Caenorhabditis elegans: one gene and its partner. The protein of the gene in region 1 purifies or fractionates together with the protein of each later gene. This does not show direct contact. Each region holds a gene or a part of one and is shown on either strand. Other genes may lie near its edges.

What was found.
Region 2: the proteins of tgn-38 (region 1) and F14E5.2 fractionate together in Caenorhabditis elegans (co-fractionation; one large-scale study listed by BioGRID). This does not show direct contact.

The regions. Positions count from the first base shown.
Region 1 is NC_003282.8:12,027,547-12,031,300, forward strand, and holds the start of tgn-38 (Trans-Golgi network integral membrane protein 2), read right to left. Parts: upstream 1,629-3,754; 5' UTR 1,619-1,628; coding exon 1,355-1,618; intron 927-1,354; coding exon 450-926; intron 1-449. Other genes in the region: T12G3.11 (uncharacterized protein), read right to left, coding at 2,158-2,226; T12G3.6 (RWD domain-containing protein), read right to left, coding at 2,710-2,871, 2,918-3,022, 3,080-3,341, 3,601-3,725.
Region 2 is NC_003280.10:8,426,873-8,430,626, reverse strand, and holds the start of F14E5.2 (Golgi apparatus protein 1 homolog), read left to right. Parts: upstream 1-1,771; 5' UTR 1,772-1,788; coding exon 1,789-1,837; intron 1,838-1,883; coding exon 1,884-1,972; intron 1,973-2,018; coding exon 2,019-2,313; intron 2,314-2,381; coding exon 2,382-2,701; intron 2,702-2,751; coding exon 2,752-2,838; intron 2,839-3,047; coding exon 3,048-3,748; intron 3,749-3,754. Other genes in the region: acp-2 (ACid Phosphatase family), read left to right, coding at 142-375, 427-576.

The sequences.
Region 1 (3,754 bases):
AAATAAAAACTTTTACTTTCTCTGAAAATAGTTTTTATTTCAGTTGGAACAATTGAGAAAGTAGTCAAAAAATTGCCCGAAAGTTGAAAATTTCATTTAAAAAATTTAGAAACATTGCCAGATTTTTCGGTAATTTTCAGCTTTCAGACAGATATTGCGCATTTTTAATTAAAATAACAACTACTTTCAACTAAAGCAAATTTTTTAATTTTATGTATCATTAAATTTTAATTTTTAAAAAATATTAGCATAGCATGCTACACTGGCTCATTTTTTAGAATTGCTAGAATTATTGAAGTTTGTTTTTTTTTTGAAAAAATACTTCTGAAAAAAGACCAAATTGAGAATGTCAATTAATTCAAAAATTGTCAACTGTTTGAATATAACTTTAAAATTCTTTCGGAAAGTAACTTTTCTCTACTTCTTATTTCAAAGTTTTAATCACTTACAGATGAATCATGCCTATGTGGTCGAGCGACGGGACCAGCTTCCAGTGTCTGCTCCTCATCAGCTGAATCTTTCTTTTTCTCAGCAACAGGTACACCTGGAGCGGGATTTCCTCTGGCTTCTTCAACTGCTTCATGTAATCCTTCTGCTCCAACTGCAGGAGTCTCTCGATCCTCTTTGGCTGCACCATCAGCTTCATCTTTTGGAGGATCTACCACAGCTGGTTTGTCAACGTTCGCATCTGGATCTTCTTCCCCTTTTCCACCTTCCACTTCTTGTTTTGGTTCAAATTCTGGAGCTGCATTTTCTTTTTCCTCTTCTTTCGCATCTTCTACTTCTTTTGGTGCTTTCTGTGCAAAAGGGGCAATTGTTTCTACAACAACAGTCGTTGCTTCTTGAATCACATCAGTTTTTGCTGGAGGTGTTTCTTCTTTTCCAGTCAGTAATTCTTCTTTCTTCTCGTTTTCAGTTTTCGACTCCTGAAAAATTATAAAAACTGAATGTAACTGAAATTTATAGGGAGGGCTTGCTTTAGATATCTCAAAAACTTCCAAAAATTTTTATCGTGTGTCACAATTTCAAACAAAAAACCAAATTTGCTAAAGTCTTAAGTTTCGCCAACTTTTCCATGACACAACTGTTGGAGGTTAATTTTTTTATTATTATCATTCTTTATTTCATATTTCGGCAATAAGAAACATGGTGATTCAATAACAACTGTATTCCAACAGCCTCGACAAGGAAAAAAACTAATGATTTTAACAAAATGTGGGTTTTTTTTTGAAATTCAAACCCGTCATGAAAATTTAGAAAATGTTTTTTTAATCTCATCATGAAATTCGATCGTTTCGGGCCAGTTTAGTCTATTTAAGAAAAACCCAAAGCATTTTTAAATTGTATTTCTTACAATAATTGTTGCATTTGTAGCAACTGGAATCGGAGCTACTTGATCTGGTGCAATTGTGAGATTTGCTGTTGAACTGAGAAGTGTCAAAGTTGGAGGTGTTGTGCTTTTTTCAGATGATTTTCCTTCTTTTTCATTTTCGTTTTCATCAATTGGAGGTCTCACATCATCCACATCTTCAGGATTTACATCGTCTTCTGGTTTTTCTTGTGCAGCAGCTGATGTTGCCAAGAATAGTAGAACCACGACGAAGAGTCGTAATTTCATGAGAGAAAAGCTGTAAACATGCAATTTTTTGAAAAAAGGTATTAAAAACTAATATCTGAACAAAAAAAATAGTAGAACACGGAGAGACTCCAGAAAAACCTCAATACTAAAATAGCAGCAATTAGGTGTCTCAGAGAACATGAGAGAATAGTTGTGACCGAATGAGGTCAGTTACTCTACGATGAGAAGGCAATAACGGTCGGTAGTACGAACGGAGAACTAGAAAAAAAAACATTGAAAGTTCACGATTATCCATCGTTTTCTTCTCAAAGACATGTGTTTCAAAAATGTTTACATTTGCCTGAAGTGGCATATTGGAAAGAGAAGTGCGCTTTCGCTCGTAAAAATCAATGAAACAGTTGAGTTAATCCGTCGGAAACAGATCATGTTAATCTCGAAAAAAAATTGTTGCAATTGAAAACTACAATTTGGAAAGTATTTGAATTGTGGTTTTGATTTTGATCATAGATAAGTATTCATTCATAAATGTCTACACAGCTCAAATATTTCTAGAATTAATATTGCGAAAAAATTCAATATCAGTGGAGGTTTAGCACATCATGCAATGTCGACAAACAAACAGAAACGTAAAGTAGAGAACGTGGCATGTTTTGATTCCTGGGAAAATGTTGATTCAAACTATTTCGAAACAAATTAAAGTGAGAAAATATATTGCAGAAACTGAATTATTGACATTTTAATTAGACTAAAAGTCAAAAAATGTAAGAAAACCAACTTGTATCAGCAAAAAACCACTGAAAACCAATAAAAATGTAAAAATGACAAATTGTCGTAATATCTGGTGTCGGTTGTGCATTGGTACGCAATCTTGTGTACTCCTCGCGGACAAGTTTTCTGTTAATTTTTTTTGTTGGTTTTTTTCTATTTGTCCCGCTTTTATTTGTACTGAAATCTTTAAACCGATATAATTTTTTAATTCACTTTAGTAACAATAATAGTGTCGATATCACCGAATAGGTAAGGCAATGGTACAATAAAAACCATGCAAATTTAAGGCTTAAATTACAAAAAATGAGTTGAGAGTTATTATTTTGAATTATTAATTTCAGCCGTTTGTTTCCATTCGATATCTAATAATAGACGTTGGTGAACAAGTTTAAAATGTCTTTTCCTTTCTTCGATTCAGCAGTCTCGGCTAGAGCCTTTTCCTTGAGCTTGTCTCTTTGCTTCGCATCTTCCAGATTAATTGTTTCCATAGGGAGTGAGATGTATCCGAGATCAAGGTTACGAATCTGTAAAATTTGAAACTAATTTTTCGTAATTCAATTTTAAAAGTACCTGTGAGACACGAGCTCGAATTTTCTCGCTCTTCCCGTTTTCGATTTTTTCGAGATATTTGGCCGCTCTCTTGTTGCTCCCTCTTCGGTGGAAGAAATTATACATCTAAAAGAATATTTTGATATTTAAATAGTTGTTATAAATATTTTAAATCAGACTCACAAAAATACTGTGATTCCACGAATCCTTTTTCGATCCCCGATTTGAGGACTGTTCGCGTGGTTTTGACGAAGACACTTCTACCCACTGGTCGATCTCTTCTTCTGATGGCATGCATTTCTTTGTGTGTTGTTGGCATTTGGAAAGAAGAAGGAACAATTGATCCTCAGTTAGTGGTTTTTCGTGACATTTCAACAAATTGATCGTCGGAGTCCTTTCAAGTCTTACGTGGAGGGGAACAGAAGGAGCCATTATTAGGAGCGGTCTGAAATTTCTCAATTTACTAAACAATTGAAGAAGGACTAACGTTTTTTGCTTGTATTGACTCAACATGCGTCTAATTCTCAAAAATACAAACCGGAAAGTAGGCAAAATTGAAGATTTCAGCTAAGGTTAGCCTTTTTTCGACATTTTTAAGAATTTTCATTACGAAATTCGTTAATTTGTGCGCATTTTGAGATTATGCAAGCAAAAAATTAAACAAAATACACGCAGGAGAAAAAAAATTGTACAAAATTACTCACGTTTGCGCAATGTCATCGCAATCTAACTCCTCGAAAACAAAAATTCCCGCACTTTTCAAATGGTAGATCACTATTTCTCTAGGAAGATCAAATATATTTTTACTGCATTCTTGTTCTTTATTCATGAATTCAGCGTGTTCGTTTTTGTTTTCTT
Region 2 (3,754 bases), on another chromosome or scaffold:
ATATTTTCGGATGTCTTTTCGGTTTTTGGATGATATGGTTAATCTAAAACACCATTGGTGTCTCTTTTTTCGAGTTTCTAGAGTTATTTCCAAGTTCAAAATCAGTATTTGCTGATTAATCCTAATAATAAAATATTTCAGCAAGACTGGATTCTAATGGGAGTGCTCGATTCATTGAATGTGTTGGAACAAACTGTTGGACTCGACAAATATCCCGAATACAACTCAATGATCATATTTGAAACGTGGAAGGATAATGGAAAATATTTTGTGAAAGTTTTCTATAAAAAAGAAGAGATCACTGCCGAGGATCATGAGCTAATAGATGTCACCAAATTTGTGAGAAACTGTAAAAGAGAACGATGTTTGGCACAGGTTTGTTTTGAACTTTTGTTTTCTCATTCATACATTAAAAATGTATTTCAGGATTTCCTCGACTGCTGCGATGATTATCGAAACAAAGGTGAAGCTGAGAGTTGTGAAGCATCTGATTTAAAGATTCGAACCACGAGAAGCTCTCCACCTAATAATATTAGAAGAGATCTTCATGTATCGGAATTCTCTGGTCCAGAATAATCAATTAGTTGATACTGTTTCTTTCTGTAAATACATGCGAATGAAGTGAATCGATTGATATTTATATTCCATTTAAATGAAGGTTCCGCGTGAAATACTCAAGTATAAATTGTGGTTTCGATGGAAAAAGGACCTAGCTTTGCATATTGAACTTCCGTAGCCTAACAACCAAAAAAGTTTCTCTTCGTTTTTTTTTTCGTCCGATTAATTCGTCATCTCCACTTAACCGACTATACGACGAATGGGCATCGGTCTATTCGTCGAGATCCTCCTTCTCTTGATGCCGTAAGTTTTCTCTGTCGGACTGCAGAAGACAAAACAAGTCTCTTCACCTTCCTGAGCGCATTGTTCTCTTCTATTTCTCGTCCTCTCTCCTTTTATGCCTAGTTTACCGATCGGCCTGTTCTGTTCGATAATATTATCTCAAAAATATTGTTTCGGGTGGACGGAGGGCGTTTTGTTTTTAACAATATAGCCACGTGGCCCGGTTGTAATTTCTCGGCAAATCATTAGTTTTTCTAGCGTATTTTTTCCTACCTAAATTTGTGAGAATTAGCATCAAAAATGGACATTATTTATTTTGAAAAGTTTAATTATTATTCCCCAAATGCGAAATTTTGTGCTAAGAATACGGTATTCAAATCAATCAATAAAAGTCCGCAAAAACACACATTCGAAACTACAGTACTGTTTAAAGGGGCATGCCCTTTTGCATTTAACAAAAACTGTCGTGCCGAGACCGGGTACTGTAGTTTTGACGCAAAAATTACGAAATTTTTTTGTTCTCAGTTTTCAAGTTCAGGCAAAGTTAGTTGAATTCTCAAAAAATAATATTTAATTACAGAGGCATAGTATTTTCATTAAATAAGATGACGTGTCAGGTTTTCTGACAATAGTTTGCGCGTTGTTTAGTGCGCATTGTGTGCAAACACCACTGGTCCGCAAGTTTCCGTGCCCAGGTTCCAACGGATTTCTATTTGTTTTCCAGGATCCGTTTTCTATTTTTTCAAGTCTTTTTCTCTATCTTCTATATTTTCCGACAAAAAAGAGGGTTTCTGTGTGCACACTTGTCCACTTTTCACCACATTTTTATATACCTAATTGTTGTCGTTTCAATTAAAATTCGACATTTTTCTCAAATGACGTCACTTTCAGAATGTTTTTCTATTTGCACACGTTGAAAATTTATTTTCAGGGTCCTGAACCTGAAATATGTGGAGGTTTCCACTGATACTCGCGTCGGTTTGTTGGCTGACAACAGGTATGTCAGGAATATTCAATTGATTCAAAATAAATTCAAATTTCAGCTCAACAACAAAACGTAGCGAACGATCCAGATAAGAAGTTGGCCAGTTTCGATGCATGCAAAGCAGATATTCATAAACATTGTAGCCGAGTGAGTTTGACATTAAAGCTATTGATAGGCAAATAAAATATTTCAGCCTGATGTAGATCTAACAAGCGACATGTCGATTCTTGAATGCCTTCAAGATGCCGGATTTTCTGAGACAGCGACTCTATCCGAACAGTGTGAGCAACTTGTCTGGGATTTCAAGGTCAAAATAACACAAGACGAGCGTTTCGTATCCGCGGCCAAACAATATTGCGAGGAAGAGTTGAAGGGAAATGCTGCAATGAATCTTTGTACATCTCAAACTCAACCTGGATTTGCTCTCAGTTGTCTCATGGAATTCACAAAAAATGTTACTGAGACTGGAAAATGCCACGCATTTTTAGGTGAGTATTGTAATTTTAAAAACACAAAATTTCATCAAAATACATTTAAATTTCTCTTCGTTTTGAAGCCAGAACAGAGAGACTAGCTTTCTCGGATTTCCGTCTCGTTGGTCCATTCGTAACAAAATGCCGTGCTATTCTCGATAAATTCAAATGCAACGTCCTTACTCCTGATCCAGCACACAAAGGTGTTCGTGTCGCACATACGCAAGGAATGGCTTTGGAATGTATTTTGGATAAAGTTGTGAAAAATGCAAAGACTCAAGCAGATGCATTGCAAATACTTGGAGATGATTGTAAACATGAAGTTCTCCGACTTGCAGAGATGCAGGCTGATGATTTCCATTTAGACAGACCGCTCTTCTTTGCTTGCAGATTAGACAGAGAGGTAAGTTTTTAGGAGTTTGAATTTTATAAATGAGCAAAACATTTTTTCAGAGATACTGTAAAGATGTTCCATCTGGCGAAGGAAAGGTTTTCGAATGTCTCATGATGAATAGAAATGATAAATTCATGGATCCAGAGGTGAGATTTTATCAGAATATTTTAGTTTTTCCGAAAATTCTCATGTGTTTATTTACACAGGTGCAGTTTTTTTTGACTATTGAATTCTTGAAAATGCAAAAATTACAATCCTTAGATTCCGTAATCCATTTATTTATACAACTGGATCGCATATTTTCAAGAAAAAAGAAAAAAAACGACTCAAAATTATACATTAATAAAATTTTCAGTGTGGAAATTTGCTTGCCGAGAGAGCATATCTTATGGGAAGAGATTACCGTATGGCTCATCCACTCACAAAAGCTTGTCAACCAGAATTGACCAGATACAAGTGTGAACCACAGAACCAAATTGAATCAGCCGCTCATTTCCATCTGGCATGGATCCTTTTGTGTCTTGAAAATGGAGCAAATCAACCAGAACACAAGGAAGTTCAACCATCAAAAGAATGTGCTCATGAAATGATTACTCATCGTCAAATGATGATGCAGCACTTCCGAATGGCTCCAGAGCTTGTACTCAACTGTGCACAAGAAATTGATAAATGGTGTAGTCCACGTGGAGATATCGAGGCCGAAGGAAGAACATTGCACTGTTTGATGGAGCATGCTGAATCCAGAAATGAAACATTAAAACTGGGAGCTCAATGTCTTCAAGCTGTTCAACAAGTCGTTAAAGTTGCAGATATCGGAAGAAACTATAAAGTCGACAAAGTTCTGTATGGATCGTGCAGAAGTCTTATTGATGGTCCTTGTGCCCAAGACGCAGTTTCAGAAACTGCTACTTTAACATGCCTCATGAGAAATGTGGATAGTCCTGATATGGTTCCTGAATGTGAAAAACGTCTGCTCGAAGTTCAATATTTCATGGCTAGAGATTGGACAATGGATCCACAATTATATGAAGCTTGTCATCAAGAAGCCGTGAGCAGGTACGT